Diceros bicornis minor: one gene and its partner. The protein of the gene in region 2 interacts with the protein of the main gene of each other region in a pairwise test. Links are inferred from orthologs where the notes say so. Each region holds a gene or a part of one and is shown on either strand. Other genes may lie near its edges. The genes, in order: PKP4 and ATPAF2.

The links.
Region 1: the proteins of ATPAF2 (region 2) and PKP4 interact in binary tests that used the Homo sapiens proteins (3 or more experiments, as listed by UniProt). The two-hybrid records come from large-scale screens. The link is inferred for Diceros bicornis minor from reciprocal best matches to the Homo sapiens genes ATPAF2 and PKP4.

Annotation. Positions count from the first base shown.
Region 1 is NC_080749.1:41,200,757-41,209,532, reverse strand, and holds the start of PKP4 (plakophilin-4), read right to left. Parts: upstream 3,951-8,776; 5' UTR 3,849-3,950; intron 2,803-3,848; exon of another isoform or gene 2,757-2,802; intron 1-2,756. Other genes in the region: CCDC148 (coiled-coil domain-containing protein 148), read left to right, coding at 4,635-4,659. UniProt on the Homo sapiens protein: Plays a role as a regulator of Rho activity during cytokinesis. May play a role in junctional plaques.
Region 2 is NC_080757.1:1,433,985-1,442,531, forward strand, and holds the start of ATPAF2 (ATP synthase mitochondrial F1 complex assembly factor 2), read right to left. Parts: upstream 3,951-8,547; 5' UTR 3,811-3,950; coding exon 3,678-3,810; intron 1,479-3,677; exon of another isoform or gene 1,375-1,478; coding exon of another isoform or gene 1,293-1,374; intron 1-1,292. Other genes in the region: GID4 (glucose-induced degradation protein 4 homolog), read left to right, coding at 4,446-4,634. UniProt on the Homo sapiens protein: Plays a role in the assembly of the F1 component of the mitochondrial ATP synthase (ATPase).

The DNA of each region.
Region 1 (8,776 bases), on a different chromosome or scaffold from region 2:
CTACAAAACCATTTAACACATTGAAGAAGTAATTATCTCCCACTACACTGAAGGCGTGAAGGCAACTTCCCCAAAGTGACATAAAATTCCATGGATGTTTATGCCCTGGAATAACCTCGACTTTATCTTCCAGTGAAGAATGAAAGCATGATGTCCATTTTAGAATAAAGCAAATTAGGGATTTACCTCTTGATTGAAATAGAAACATTAGATTATAGAGCATTCTCAAAATATCTTAATAATTCAAAGCAGTAAGGCGAGGGACTGGACTTATCAATTAATTGGCATCATCCAGGATATGAAAATTCTATTTAGATTGATCCCTGGTCAACAGCAAGAAAATCATTTAGTTTTAAAATTGGCAATAATTGGATTTTTAAAAATTAAGTGAATTTAAAAGTTTAAACTAAAATTACTTTCCCTTGGGGCCGGCCCAGTGGCGCAAGTGGTTAAGTGCGCGTGCTCCACTGCGGGGACCGGGGTTAGATGGTTCGGATCCCGGGCGCGCACCAACGCACCGCTTGGCAACCCATACTGTGGCGGCATCCCATATAAAGTGGAGGAAGATGGGCATAGATGTTAGCCCAGGGCCAGTCTTCCTGCTCAAAAAGAGGAGGATTGGCAGATGTTAGCTCAGGGCCGATCTTCCTCACACACAAAAAAACAAAAACAAACAAACAAAACAATTACTTTCCCAATATGTATAGCTCTGAAAAGAAAGAAAGCTGCAATTCTGACTTGATACAGACTTAATCCAAATACTCAAGGTCATGAAATTGCTCAAGTTTTTATTAAACTGAGTTTGGTAGCAGTTTCTTTAAATTCAAATTATGTTAGAGCTACGTGCAGAATTAGGTTCGGTTTATCCAGCTTATAAATGCAGCAGTAACATATTTTGTTTTTCTGGATGAATGCCAACTGCTCCTACTTTCTGCTTACCTTCTCTTATGCTTTCCATCACTACCCTGATCCCTATCTCCCTCCAAAATCAACACAGGTAAGAATTAAGATAACTGGACACTTAGTTCCCCAATTTAGTATCTTCAGTATAACATGCAAGACACGAAATGCAGCACCTTCTCCTTATATAATAGTGGGGGTTGGGGAGGGAAAACACAGTTTGTGTTATTTTGATCAAAACACAGTTTACGTTATTTTCAATTTTGAACGATCACCAGTTTAAAACTGCCTCTCTTCAAATATTTATAACAAATAGAATATATTTCTAACTGAAAGCCTACCTTTACTTGAAGCAGGTAAAACTATTTGCACAGCCAGTCCTGTATATACATTATCTATATACGGGAAAGGATTATTTCAATTTCTAATGTAGCAGAGAAACTAAATACGATTTTACTTTCTAATCTTCATATCAAATCAAATAAGCACATGTTAAACTCTGCTGTAATATGATATTGTTACATAAGTTTCCTGTTGGCATCTACAAACACCTCCCAATATCCTACAGAGTGTTACTAACTCTAATTTGGAGTTAAATCTCTAAATTAGAAGGTCCACTGATTACAGATGTACCTGAAAAACAATGTAGCAGCCAAAAGACACAACCATTCCCAGTACAGTTGTTTTTTTTTTTTTTTTCCCACATTCTGTTGGGTCCTTAACTAAAAAAGACTCTCATCTTATACTTTTCAATTCCCTTAATCCACACAAAGTAGGTGCTGGAAGACAGCTGGACAATCAACTTACTATTTTCCTGAATCTGATACAAAATAATCAAGTGTGGAGAGGCTTACAGTAAAACTCAACCTCCAAAGCACACTGTGTCAAATAAAAGCACACACAGTATGCTTTTCAACATCAGAAACACTTATTTTGCATGAGTGGTTCTCATTTCATATTACCATTTTCCATAACTGCTTCAAAGGCACCAGAAATGAAAATACTTCTATAGCAATACACTGCATTCAAAAAGAGAAGCTGTCTTCTACTTTCCTTTTTAAAATAAAAGAATCTAAGCCCAATTCTAGAGAAGCACCTCCTTGAAAAATTTGCTTTTCTGCATTAAAGAAAATAAAATTTTCCCCAAAATGTATACTAATCATTACTGATTTTACAAAATAATTATTCATTAAAAGTTGTAGAGCTGTATTTATTTTTCAGTCAAACTCAGTAACAAGAAGAGAAAGAACTCAGACCTCAACTAATAAATTACATCTTGAAATACACATGATTGTGATGTCCCCGTGTTACTTTCAATGGTAACTGACACGCCCCGAATTTAACTGTACCAGACAGTTCTATCTGTCCCATCGCTGACTAAACACTGCTTCTCTGTTTCTATTCATTATGTATTATAAGAGGTCTAAGCACAACCCAGTATGACGAGAAAAAAATTACAATTCTTATGACAGCAAAGTGATGCATTCACGATCTCTCTTGCAGTACATCCCTGTCCATGAGCATTAACAGACATTTTTTGATAAAGCTAAAATACGTCGGCTGCAAGCTCATTACTCTAAGAACCTTGGACACCCGTTCCTGCAGGTTTTCAGAAAACCCTCGTAAAAACCAGGCGATATTCAAATCTTGCAAACCAAACTTGCCAAGAACCTTGTGCAATGATCAATAACCTTGGCTACACCGCCATTGGCCCCAAATTCGCGGTCCTGGAGACCAGTGCAGCAGAAACCAGCCGAAGGGCTAGCAGAAACCCAACAGAACTGCCGCGCTCCCCCTCCGCCGCCCTCTCTGCCGCATGAAGAGAGGCGAGGAGAGAAGAGCGGAGCGAGGCTCACCAGCTCCGAAGATGCTCCGGTGACCTCCGGCTGCGCGGCGAGAGCTGGGCCGGGAAGGCGCTACTGCAGCCGCGGCTGGCCGTGTGGACTATGCCCCGGTGCATTCCTTGCATTCCTGCACAATCTGTCGCCAGCCGAGGAGCTGGCGGAGCGCGTCCCCCCCGGACACACACACCTGCCTAGTGCTGCGCCCCGAGCGGCCACGGCCGCCGCGGCGCCTCCACTGCCTGCGCTCCCTGTTTGTCGCACTCGGCCAACACGCAGCCAAATCTGGGCCCCGCCGCTCACCCCCTCGCTTCCCGGGCAGGGGGCAAAGGGGAGAGGGCCGGGCAGCCCCAGCGGCCGGCAGGGACACGCGATCCGCCAAAGGGGTGCCGCAGCTCCGCTTCAACTCCTGGCAAGGAGAGGAGGAAGCGGCGGCGCAGGAGGACAGCCGGGGAAGCTCCGGGCTGGGGAGACGGGAGGGGTGGAGCGTGAGGATACGCGGCGAGGAGACAGGGGCGCACTGGGCAGAGCGGGGTGGGCAGGCCCGGCAGAAGCGCGGGACTCAGGAGGCGGGCGCGAGACCGTGCAGGCAGCAGGAGCATGGGAGGGGGCCAGGATGCAGGATCTGGGGCTGGAGGGACGGACAGACGGCCCTGAGGGCTGGGGAAGGCGGGTGCGCCGGGGTGCCGGGGGCGCGGGGCGGCGTGCCAGGCGGGCAGGAGCAGGGAAGCCTCTGGGCTGGCGTCCAGGAGGGCTCGGCGTGCCGCTCAAGTTTGGGGCTGGGGCTCTGGATCCGAAAACGCCAACGTGGGGAGGGGTCGTGCGCGGCGTGAAGGGGAGACTCGGGGAGAGTAATCGCCGGGAAAAGCAAATGGAGGGTGAAACTTGTGCGCCCGCCGGGGGGAGGGGAGCAGGCAGGCGAGTGCGGGCAGGAACACGAGGCGGGGCAGGAAAGCCGAGGCGGCCGCGCGGCGGTGGGGACGGAGTAAAGAGAAGGAGGCGCCCGTGCCCCCGGCGCCCCTCGCAGGCAGGTCCCGGCTCGGGCGCGAGGGCCGGGGGTCTCGTGGGCAGGAGTGTCTGCGCCCGCCCGCGAGCCCGCACACTTACTTTCCAGGTTAGGCAGCAGCCGTCGTCGCTCCGCAGATCAGGGACATCGGCTCCGAGGGGTCGCCGCTGCGACACTCGAAAAAATTAAAAAAGTGCCGCGGCCGAGCTGCTGCCCGCCCCTCCCTCCCCCACCCGCCCCCTCCCCCGAAGCGGCTCTCCCACCACCCCCGGCGGCGGCGGTGGCCAACTTGCCCCTCTACCCCGTGCCCATGGTGCCGCCTCCGCGGCCGGCGTCGACACGGACTCAGCCCCGGAGCCCCCTCTACCGCCCAGAGGCCGCCGCCACCGCCCGCCCAGCCGCCAGCCCGCCTGCCCAGCCAGCCCCGGGCTCCCGGGAACGTCAGCACGCCGCCGTCTCCGGACCTGCTCGCTGCCGACCCCATTGGTCAGAAGGAGAAGGCTGGTCCTCCCCATTGGCCCGGCCCTCATATTGAATGGGCCAATGGGAACTGTGGTTTCAGGTCGCCATAGAGACCGATGCTGTGAAGAGCGAAAGGGCCTGGAGAAGGTGGCGAGTGAGGATGGAGGTGTCTCTGGCTTTGGGCGCGGGAGGGGGTGGGGGAAAGAAGTATAGGGGGATTCCTGGGCGCTGGCTCTGAAATCTGGGGCAGCTTTTGCTTTGCCTTCCTGTCAACCCCAGCTGTGCATGGTAGTGTTTGTCCCTGGCGTCAAAGGCAGGAACAGCTGAGCCCTTGTACGAATCCTTGAAGGTGAGAGCCAACGAGTGGGCGTTTCACTTTTCCCGCGTCTGGGGAGCCCCCGAGGCTGTGCCCTTTGACCTTTGACATGTGTGCAGCTTCTGCTTCTCCAGGTGAGTTTGCACCCGTCCCTTAAATCTCCGCTTCTTCCTGACGTCACCGATCCACCTGAATTGCACTTGTTTTTCCCAAACACTCCCCCTTCCCTGGGGCGGATCTTGCCTTAAAATTGGGGGTCTTCAGAATTACAGCCCTCCCTACGGGAGACTCAAAGAGAATTTCCTTTGGATGATATTTTGGTAAGGAAACAGGCTGATGTATTGTATAATGGATGTCATCGGCTCAACACATAAGATAATGTGTTCTCTGCTTCCCAAAGCAAACCTCTCATCTCTTCGTTGAAGAGATCACAGGGTGGGTAAAGACACAGGTCGGTCCTTCATGCCTTCTAATGATTTCACAAAAGAGTAAAGGAAATAGATTACAGTTGATGGATTTTGTTTTGTGGATATTTTCCAGTTTATCTCTAAATTTGATAAAGATATGAACTGAGGCATGGAATCAGTACATACAAAAATCTTGAGCTTTAATAACAAGTCCTCTGCTGTCATTTAAAGTTACTTAGTGCTACTTTGTCAATATCATTTTTCTTTGTAGATAACTTTCATATTTAGATACTGGCTATTAAAGTGGGACTTCATGAATATATTAGACTTTTAAGCATTATTTTGCTCTATCATACAGCCACTGATATTCTTAGGTTCCTTCTTTTGGTGATTTTGCCATTTTTATACTAATCTCTTTAGTAAGAAGACATGTTTATGTTACTGTGCCTCGAGTTGGAGGGACCCCATTGTGTGAAAAAGCTGATAGGATTTTGGAAATTACAAGTATTTTTTTGAGAGAAACAGATTACTGTGTGCAAGCTACATATGTCTAACTACTGTCTTGAGTTTTAAGTTGGATAATATGCTTTGCTATTGTTTTTTATCTACTGTAATCAAAGATTAAAAAATAGATAAGAATTATTAATATGGTTCCTTGACTGGAAAATTATCTCGCACAATTTGTAGTAAAATTTGAACTTAGTTGACAATCCTATGCAGGGTTGGACTGTGGAACAAAACAGTCGAACATGAGAGTGTTCCCCCTAAACATTTCCAGAATTGGGAGGGAATCACCAGGGGCCGTGGAGTGCTGCATCTTGCTTTGCCATCATGGAAATTAGCTCATCATGCTTTCAATTTCTGGCTTTTTTGTGTTTGTTTATTGGACAATAGAAAAAGTAAAATGCAAATTTTTATGAATAAGACTCATTTTTAATATACTAACAAGATGCCAATAATTTGGTTTTTAAAAATTTTTAATAATAATGAATGGAAGATGTGTCTAAAAAGAAAGAAAAAATTGATATTTCCTTTTTTCTTGCCTTAGACTAGCATGGAAAGAAGAAAACAAGAACTAATTGATTTTTTTACTCCAATAATCTTTTCTCTTTGTGTTTTAAAATGTTGTCATTCAACATTTTTATTCCATAATTCTTTTACTCAGTTGAAAGGTTTCTTTTGGACCTGCTCCTGCACGATCAAGCATTGCTGGATAAGGTTAAGAAATCACTTTGTTCCACTAAAAGTTGATGCTATCCAGACTTGGCTGGGTCGTCATTGATTCTCTAAATTCCTTTCCTCATCAGGAGGGTGATTATTCAAGACTCTTATCCAAGGCTGTTATCCAGGGCACTTCTCCCAAGCCCGTCCTATTTCTGCTCTCCATAAGCCCCCACAGTACTTGGACTTCTTCCAGTTGTGCAAATGATTTTGCCTCATACTTGACTGAGGTATCCACCATGAGGTTCCTCAACTTAACTTTCCTAAACCTCAGTCTAATTTTTACACTTCATCACTTGCTTCACTCCTGGCTGAGAAGGGGTGTCCACCCTTCTCTTCTAAGCTCATACTCCATTTGTGCTCCTAAATATTGGCCATCCTTCCTCCTCCAGGATTTTGCTCTGTTGATAGTATTTCTCTCTTAGATCATGTGTTAGATCCTTTCTTCCAAAGTTTTTTTCCTATGCCTTACAAATATCCTTTCGTGAACCACCTTCCTTCTATCCTAGCTCTATCTCCATCTATTGGCCTTCCCTTTCATCAAGAAACAGTCTGAAGGGAATTTCTTGAGGCTTCTATTTTTTCACCCCCAATGTTCTGGCCCTTGAATACAACTGAAACGATTTTTAAGATTGTGCTCTTTCTCCTCAAAATCCTAACTCATTTTGCCAATAAAGTTTCTCTCCTACAAAAGTGCCCTTTATTTGCGAATTGCAGTGCTTCAATTCCAGATTTCCGGTGAAGGGTAGAAACTGGTTTCTGTCACCCTGAGGGTCCATAGAAATGCAAATGACCTACTTGAGAAAGTGAAGCATTAACCTGCTAGCTACACCACCTTCCCTCTAACTACTGGGAAGTAGAAGAGGGAAGAGGGGTCTCTGCTCAGGCTGACTGTGAGGCCTAGGGCAAGTTAGAAAGCTTAGAAAGGTTAGAAGAAGGAGGTTTGGTGAGCTCCACCCTCAAGAACACAAGTAAACATTGGAAATCTGAGGGAACTTTTAAATCACCATCCCAGAAAAAAGTCAACCTAAACCTTTCATGATTATGAAAACTTTGTAACTTTCCAATGTTTGTTATTTTCATATTAGCACATAATGAGTAGTAGTAAATTCCTGAAAAAGAATAGCAGAGGCAGCAAGGAAAAGGGGGAAGGAGGAACACTGTCTCTCTTCTCATTCTTGGATGTCGATGGAGAAGGTGGGATCAGTGAAGATAAGAACCCCAAAAAGTACACTGATAACTGATAGTTATTTTTTTGTTGTTTTTAAAAGGAATGTTAAAACAGAAGCAGATGGCAAATGAAGGAAAGAGCAGTGGAATAAACTGGTCCTGAGAAGGGATGCTAGAGCTTAATAATAGTTCTGCTCAGGATTTCAGAATTGGCTGTGCCCCACCTCCAGCCCAGTAGCTGAATATGTAAATCCTCCCCTGCCCTTAGAGGCCAATAGTTACCTGTAGGGACTTTTCTGAAAATTTCCTGACCTTACCGCCCTCTGGAAAGGGTGATTTCTGCCTTAGTATATTATTGTGGCTCTTAACACTCTTTACCTCATGCTGTAGTTATTTGTGTGTGAGCCTTCTTTCGTAGAGGATAGGATACATATCTATGGTCATGACTATATCCTCCATTGTGCCTTGGACTACTACTGAAGTGCTCCCTACACTAAGAAAAGCTGACATTCATTAGTCTTTTTTTCAGTCCTTGAAAGAATTTAACTTCCAACAATGAAAAATTGGAATCAGTAACATTGGGAGGTAATTAGAAAAAGATGAGACTAGAAGTTCAATGTGGAAAAGTGAGGCAATGTGTGGCAGAGTGGTTCTTGCCATGTAGCCTCCTGAGAGAGAAAGGCCTAAGATCTTATCTCTACCAGGACCTATCTCTACCCCTCTATGAGGGAGGAGACCTGTGTGAGAAGGACTAGCTGCATTGCTTTGGCAAGAAGTTATCATGTTCAGAGCTAAGGCTGTAAAACTCCATGTATGGGGGAAAGCACTTGAAATTCAAGCAGGTTAAATAAGGGTTACATACATTTTTTCCATTTGAAGCATCCAGGTTGTTCTGTCTTTTGGAACACAGTGGTATCATGAGAATTTAACAGCTTTATAAAATCAGAAAAGCATCAAACATCTGGTAAGTATAATAGACATGTTTCCAAGTACCTATATCCACAGCCCTTGAAGTAGGCAGCCCTGTGTGCCTCATGATCTTCTGGCCATAGTATCAGCCCCAGTGAGGACCTGATTCAAATGTTGCGAGTCCATTGGCTGATCATTGATCCATAACCCTTAACAATGCCAGTCAGATTTTTCTCCTGGGAATTTGGAGTTGAGAGAACAAGTGAGCCAGAGTGAGCAACTGCCTTGGTGCTGATGTTTTCTGGGTTTCTATTCTCCCCATGAAGCCAGAATAAAATTCATTTTTTATTGTTTCACGAGATTTATGTTTCTTGTAATCACCTTTAACCTATTCTTTTCCTGGTTTGCCTTTAGTGAGTCTCTGTTCCTTATAATCAAAAAGTTTTACTAAAATATCATGCAAATATTTTACAACAAAACAAAACATATATTGTGATCGTCTTATTAAACTATGAAGAGCAACAGTCTAAAAATTTCTAGCAAG
Region 2 (8,547 bases):
CCAGGAAAATCTACAGAGACAAAAAGTCAAGTTGTGGTTGCCTGCGGCTGGAGGCACAGAGAGGGTAAGGGGAGGGTGATAGCTAAAGCGTACAGAGTTTCTTTTTGGGTGAAAAAAATGTTCTAGAATTGATTGTGGTGACAGTTGCACAATTCTGTGAGTATAATAAAAACCACTGAATTGTACATTTTAAATGAGTGAATTGTAAGTGAACTATATCACAATACAGCCGTTAAAAAACTTCTTCAGGCCAAATGTAACTGCCATAGCAATTAATGTAAATGGGCTAAGTGACAAAACACACTTTTTCCAAATTGCTCTAACACCTAGAGCAGGGGATGGCAAACTTTTTCTGTAAAGAGCCAGAGTAAAGGGCCGGCCCCATGGCTTAGCGGTTAAGTGCACGCGCTCCACTGCTGGCGGCCCAGGTTCAGATCCCGGGCGCGCACCGCCTCTCCGGCCATGCTGAGGCCGCGTCTCACATGCAGCAACTGGAAGGATGTGCAGCTGTGACATACAACTATCTACTGGGGCTTTGGGGGGAAAAAAATAAATAAATAAAATCTTTAAAAAAAAAAAAAGAGCCAGAGTAAATATTTTAGGCTCTGCAGGCCATGCAGTCTCGGTTGCAACTAGTCAGCTCTGCCACTGTAGTGAAAGCAGCCCTAAATGATATGTAAATGAACAAGCATGGCTGTGTTCCAATAAAACTTTATTTATAAAAACAGGTGGCAGGCTGAACTCCTTACCTACGGAATCTCCCTCAACACAACATGACCACTCTATGAAAACGACAGGTAATGCCTCTGAGGTGACAGAGACTCTAAGGAGCTAAATGACTTAGCCAGGTGACAGACAACTTGTAAACAGAGGAGACAAGACTTCTGGCTGTGACTTCACTGGGCACTGCACTCAGCCAGACATGCAGCCTCTCCAGAACACCTTCCCCTCGAAGCAGCTGATGGATCTCTGACAGCTGGTTCACAGACGGACCGCCACACAGCCTCACACAGATCTCCTCCAACACCTCAGTGACCCTTTCCTAACCCCCTCCTCTCCTGACAACCTTCAATGGCATGGCCATTCCTAAGCAGCCAAGTTCAGTCTGCTTGCCAACCGAGGTCTTCGTCAAGAAGGCCCAACTTGGGTTTAATCTTCCACTACTCCAAAGACTCACAGTCTCAAACTGGTCAAGTCTTTGTAGGGCACTCATAGGCCTGGTTGACATACTGCCCCCCACTGTGCTTCGCTCTTTCCTTCATCCATATTTTTTTTCATGTTTGACTACCTACCATGTACCAGGCACTTCCAAGAGCCTAAATTAGTGGCTCTGCAGTAGAAAGGAAAAGGAGATGGCAGATCAAGTGCCACCATAACGGGAAGTGGCCTCCACTAATCTAAATTAATCCTCCGCTCATGCCAACTTCAGTGAACTCTTGAATGTGTCCCCTCTGCCAGTGTTGCGCCTCCCTGGGATGCTGTAAAGGAAAAAACACAAAACCTCTTATTTGCCTTTACCTTTTCCTTTGGGGGTTTTCCCACCAATCAACTCTGCAACACCAGCTGGTGTCTACAATTTAATTAAGTTCTGACGCTATCTACCTGGAGTTAGTGTCAGATCCCACAGCCTAAGGGCTCAGCCCAAGACTGATTCCCCCCTCCCCCCATGCCCCACTTCAGACACCGATCGCAAGTCCAGGTTGTCACCTGTGCTTCTGACCTGTAAATGTGAGATTCCCAGGATCCCTCCTCAGGTTTGATTAATTTGCTAAAGCAGCTCACAGAACTCAGGAAAACATTTTACTTACTAGATTACCCGTTTATCATAAAAGGGTACAACTCAGGAACAGCCAGATGGAAGATGCACAGGGCAAGGTATGGGGAAAGGGGCACGGAGCTTCCATGCCCTCTCTGGGCATGCCACTTTCCTAGCACCTCCATGTGTTCAACAACCCGGAAACTCTCCGAACCCCGTAGTTCAGGGGTTTTATGGAGGCTTCATTACATAAGCGTGATTGATTAAATCACAGGCCATTAGTGATCAAGTCAATCTCTAGCCCTCTCCCCTTCCCAGAGATCAGGAGGTGGGGCTGAAAGTTCCAACCCTCTAATCATGTGGTTGGTCCCCTGGCAACCAGCCCCCATCCTTAGGGGCTTTCCAAAAGTCACCGAATTAACATAAAGTCAGACGTGGTTGAAAGGTGCTTGTTACGAATAACAAGATGTTCGTTTCACCTTTATCACTCTGGAGTTATTTCAGGACAAAAGACCAAATACTATAACAAAATATTCTCCTATAGCTCTTATTGCCTAGTAAATTACAAGCGTTTTAGGAGATGTGTGCCAGGACAGGACGAAGACTAAATATATATATATATTTCTTATTATAAATCCCAATATCACAGATGCCCTTCCTTCCTCCTCTTTACTGGCTCTTCATGGCCCACCTCCAGGCCCTTCACCTGGGTCCTGACAGGTGAAACCCCAGCTCCCTGCTGCATCATCCCCATCTACATAAACTTATGGGACTTAACCCTCAGAGGCAACGTAGTCCTTCAACTCACAGAGGAAAATAAGGCCAGAGGAAGCAGTCACATGCCCAAGATCACACAGTACCTCAGAGGTTCAGCCAGCATCAGACCTAGATTTGTACTTCTGCCACACTGCCACACTGCCTATAGAGATCTACATTTTCTAAAGCAGACAGTGTTACACCAAGGTCCCTCAATCCCCACTGTCACCTCTGGACATGTTCTAGCCACCCAACACTCTTCCTCCTCCTCTACACCAAACTCCTACTCATCTATCAAGACTCAGCTTAAATATCCTTTCACCCAAGACCCTTTCTAGACCCTCAACACCCCTAAGATGGGAGTAGGTGCTTCTTTGTGTTCTCACAGCTTCTTTGCACTTCCCTTATCCAGGATATTATAAGCTGTTTAATCAGGATAGCATAACTTTCTGCACTTTGACAGTGAACATCATCCAGGTGAGAAGTATGTCTGTCTTGAAGACCATGGTGCCTTCTGCCCTCAGCACAGAAAAACTAATTGAATGGAAGGAGAGTGTTACCTACTCTTCACTCATTTAAGGGAGTCAGTCACTCCCACTCTTAAGCTAAGACCTCTCCCCAAAAGCAAAGAAAGAGCCACGACCTTCTTCTAGGCCTCCTTCTAGGTGGTAGGGCAGTAGGAGGGAGGGCCAGGAAACCTGCGGAGAAAGTGGCCGGATGGAAGACTGAATGCCAGGGTTCTAGGCCCCTTCTGCGCCGGGTCCTGGGGCCAGAGAAAGCAGTCAGACAGGCCGACCTTTGCCCTCCACAAAACTCGCAGAGTCTGCTCTGTGACCTTGGCGTAGTCCTGATCCAGAACCCGAATTTCTTTGTCCCAAAACAACGATGACATCTGCTTTCCTTACTGAAGAGAGGAAAGCCACAAGCTTTGAGAAAAGACGCACTTCCTAAATGTCAATTACTGACTCCGGCCGGGACGCGCTTTGTGCCCTGGGGTGGTCCCTGCTCTGGCCTGGGCTTCTCTTTCCCGATCTGTAACAGGATCCTGTTGACCTGCGTAACCTCATGAGCCCGACCCCTAACTCGGTTACCTCTGCCTGCACGGCCGAACCTCTCAGCCCGGCTCGCCCCTGGCCAAAAGGGAACGTGCCCTGGCCTCCCTCACCTGTCGGGGGTGCGTAGGCCCGGGCTTGGGGCGGGGGGGTTGGCCCCGGCCTCACGGAGGCGATGAGGCCACGCCGGGGCCCGTTCAGGAGGCGGCGCCCCTCGTCCCGCAGCCGGAGGCAGGTCCTCCACATCGCACCCGAGGGCCTGGGAGGACGACAGGCGCGAAACCTGAGAGCAGGAAACAGAGCGAAGGGATCCGCAGGCTCCGGCTGTACGGAAACCTCTCACTGCCTGCCCCAGAACCCTCAGCCTGCCCTGGACGCCGCCATCTTCCGCATGACACCAACGGCGCGCCGTCGCTCGCGCGCGCATCCTGCGCACACCCCCAGTCAATCAGCATCACAAACGCACCTCGCCCCGCCCCCTCCACGCCGCGTCTCGGGAAGAAGACTACAAGTCCCAGAGGGCCCCTCGCGCATCTCGCCACGTGTTTTCTACACCCGCCAATGGGTGGAAGCGCCGCGTGAGCCTGCTCCCGCCCCCCCGGCGCGCTCGAGCCAATTGGAGGGGGTGGTGTGTGTGCGAGGGCAAGTGGGGAGGGGGACTCGGCTCAGGACCAGGAGGCCCTGCTAGCAGGTCCCGGGGTCCCGGTGGCGGCCGGAGCGCTTGGTCCGCAGGCAGCGGGCGGGTGGTTCCCCCCTCCCGCCCCAGCCCCACGCGCGCGCGCGCGCCCCGGCCCCTCCCTCCCTGCCACCCTCCGCGGCTCCCGCGCGCCGGCGGCGGTTCCTCTCCCCTCCCCCCAGCCCTGGCTCCGGGGGACCCCGCGATGCCGGTCCGCACCGAGTGTCCCCCGCCGGCCGGTGCCTCGGCCGCCTCCGCGGCCTCGCTCATCCCGCCGCCGCCCATCAACACCCAGCAGCCCGGCGTGGCCACCAGCCTGCTTTACAGCGGCTCCAAGTTCCGCGGCCACCAGAAGAGCAAGGGGAACTCGTACGACGTAGAGGTGGTGCTGCAGGTGAGCGCCGGGCCGGGCCGGGCCCGAGGGCCTCCTCGCGGCGCTCGCGGGCCGTGCCCGCCCCCGGCTCCTCGAGCCCGCAGCCGCGGACCAGGCCCTCGCCACCGGGCCTCCCGCACCCGGCGCTTCACCCCCGGACCTGCCCAGCTGGTGTCTCACACGCTTCGAACCCCAACCCTGACCTGCCCCCTCACACCCGGAGCCTGTCGTGAGCAGCTCCTGGCAGACCCTGAACACTGTCCCAGACATGAAGCCCGTGACCGGCCCGCCTGGGATCCGGAAGCCCCTTATGACTCGCCACCCTCAGACCAGGGTCCTTCCTCTCCATGACCTGTCGCCCAAAGATCGGCCCTCCCTCGTTCCCTCTCAGATCTTGAGGAGCTCTCCACTGATTTCTCCTGACTCGGGACCCTCCCCATGGCTAGGCCCATGTCTGATTCTCCCAGACCTGAGACATGCCTCCTTGCCGCCTTTCCTCCCTCCCAGGAATCCTCAGGCTCTGGGGCCCTCCTCCTCCTCCTCCTAGGGTTTCGTCTTTGGGACGAAGCTTAATCAGCCCCCTCAGATCTGGGAGCACCCAACCCCCTTTAGCCCCTGAGAGCCCACAACCTACAACTGATTCCTGGCTCGTGCCCCCTCCCCCAACACCAGGCACTCACATCCTGGGTGCTGCTGGGAGAGCCTCCTCACAGTATGTTAGGTCTTGTGTCATGGGACCCCCTACTGCTCCAGTCTCTTCCTGGCTGGGACACCCAGGCCTCCTGCCCCAGGCTTCTCATACTCCTTACCCCTCTTTGGCCACTTCCAGTCTGCTCCCAGTCTCCCTGGCCTGCCTACCCAGATCTTCCCACCCCATGCCTTCGTCTTCCTCCTTTCTTGGCACCAGGGGACCCTCTTTCCCTGTTCTTAACCCTTACCTACACAGCCAGGCTTCCTGCCAGTCTCTGATACCCATGTACTGGAAATCTAACTCACCCAGTTTTAGTTCTCACATGGATAGTTCCTTCTCATGTCTATCCACCTCCCCCGATTTGACCTGGATCTCTGAGTGTCTGCTGCCAGCCCCTGATAGCTTTGGAACTACAGCTTCACCTGCCCTGGCCCTTTCCTGCACCTCATCCCTCTCATGCAAGTGGTAACACATTTGGCATTTTTTCCCCAGCCAAAGGAGATGGGCAGTGGTTAATGCTCCTTTTTCTCTCCCTTCCTTACAAAACTGTTCCTCCTTTCTACCTACCCTTGCCTGCCTTAGGACCCACTTCCCCCCTCCCTCTGCGCCTTTATCCTTAGCCTGACACCCCATCTCCTAGGCTGTTCCCAGAAGCCCGTCCTAACAGCTGTCCCCTTGAAAGGCCTTACAGAAGCTTTGAGGTCCTACTCTGCTGCCTTGCTGCTCCCATGTGAGGACAGAATGTAGGATGTGTCTTTTCCTTAGGCTTGCCCTTTGCTCTTTTGAAGTTTTAAATCTTAACGTCTCTTCTGAACAAGTAGATCTTCCACCCAAAAGACTGAGAGCATTTTCTTATTGCTAACTGCAGAGCATTGATCACCCTCTCTTTTCTTACTGTTTTGTTGGAATAAATATTTTTCTCTTTTTTTGACTGGGAAAACTACATCTTCATGTTAATTGTGTCTTTGGTCTATAAACTTACACTTCTGTTATGAGCCATGATATTTATTGTAAGTGAAAAACTATTGTGACTGAGGTATTTCTGTCTTCGTAATTGTAGGCCTCACGTGGTGATCCCCCATCCCTTTTGCTTAAAATGTGAGAATTTAGTATGAAAGTACAGGATTTTTTTTTTTTTTCAAGTAACTATAAAATTCTGCAAGTGAGATCCCTGGTGTGGTCGTGTTTGGAATGATCTTGAATTTGTGCCCATTGTTAAATTTGATGGTTTCTGATGTGGTTGGGGGACAACTGGCATGGTAGCTAAGTGTCAGAGAGAAGGCTGCTCTGGTTACTGTGGCAACTGCTGTCATTAGTGTGTTGTTTCTGAATTCCTGTCAGGTGCCAGTTTCCTTGTGAGCCAGTGGAAGCGGTGATTGAGTTGGTGCACGATTGCTATGTCTCAGGGCAGCCCAGAGCAGACACCTGGCGATGGCTGGAAGCCACTTGAGGAGGATGTCTGTGGCGGGTCGGGGGGTGGTCCTGCCCAGGAATGCTGCGCTGCATCTGGATTGGTGAGCTGTTTGTCAGTCATTGAAACAAGTCAGTGGCATGTGAATTGCCCCATCATCTGGTTTTTCAGCCAGGACTAGTTTCTTGGACTCTACCTTCCTAGAATACTTCTGCCTTTTATAACTCAGCCTCTTTCAAGCTTGCTTTTTTTCATATCAGCTTAATTGAGTTATAATTCACATACCGTAGAATTCACCCATTTAAGGAGTACAATTCAGTAGTTTTTAGTATATCCACACAGTTGTGAAACCATCACTGCAATCTAATTTTAGAACACTTTCATCACCCCGAAAAGAAATCTTATACCCCTTAGCCATCACCCCCCTCCAACCGTATGCAACCACTGATTTTTTTGTCCTAAGATTTGCTTATTCTGGACATTTCATGTAAATGGAATCATACAATATGTGACCTTTTGTGTCTAGCTTCTTTCACTGAGTATAATGTTTTTAAGGTTCAACCCATGTCACAGCATGTGTCAATGCTTCATTCCTTTTTATTGTTGCATAATAGTCCATTGTGTGGATATATGACATTTTTTTTAATCCATTGCTCAGTTGATGGATATTTGGGTTGTTTCCACTTGTTGGCTCTTATGAATAATGCTGCTGTGAGCATCCATGTACAAGTTTTTGAGTGGACAAATGTCTTCAATTCACTTGTGTTATACCTAGGAGTAGAATGCTGGGTCATATGGTAACTCTATGTCTAACATTTTGAGGAACTGCCAGACTGATTTCCAAAGTGGCTGCACCATTTTACATTCCCACTAGCAGTGTCTGAGGGTTCCAGTTTCTCCACATCCTCCTCCACACTTGCATTGTCCGTCTTTGTGTGTGTGTGTGTGTGTGTGTGTGTGAGGAAGATCAGCCCTGAGCTAACATCTGATGCCAATCCTCATCTTTTTGCTGAGAAAGATTGGCCCTGGGCTAACTTCCATGCCCACCTTCCCTTACTTTATATGGGACGCCACCACAGCATGGCTTGACAAGCGGTGTGTGTGTCCGCGCCCGGGATCCGAACCTGTGAACCCCGGGCCGCCAAAGTGGAGCGCGCACGCTTAACCACTGTGCCACCGGGCCGGCGCCTTGTTCATCTTTTTGGTTGTAGCCATCCTGGTGGGTGTGAAGTGGTATCTCACTGTGGTTTTGATTTGAATTTCCCTAATGACTAATGATATGTTGCTCATCTTTTCATGTGCTTTTTGGAGCACTTTCTTTTTTAGAGATTTCAGTTTGAAGAGTTCCTCAAACCTTTGTGAGATTCTGACGGGGTTTTTGTTGTTGTTGTTATTACTGTGACTGTTCTGTTTCTCCTCTGCCATGCAGGAAGCCAAGAGTGAACTGAAGGCCAGGGTCACTGTGAAAGAAATATTAAAAAGAGCAGCTGTTGGACACAGCTGTGCTGTGAAACCTTCTTTGCTAGACATTTGCCTTGTTCTCTTTCTTGTGGAGATGCTGGCCTGTCGTTTGGTTAAAGCTCTCTGGGTTGTGGTGTATTTGAGTTCACCAGTCGTCATCAGGATCAGTTTGGGCAGAATGAGCGAGACGCGTGGTTGAACAGAGGCCAGACTGAAATTCTGGTTCTTGAGCATGTGATAATCCAGGCAAAATGTTAGCCAGTTTACAGTTCAGTTTTTAATCTCATTAGCAGATACCCTTGCCACCTGATGCCCTTTCCAGCAGCTGTGAGACCCCAGACTGTATTGAATTCAGTGAGAACTGCATACAT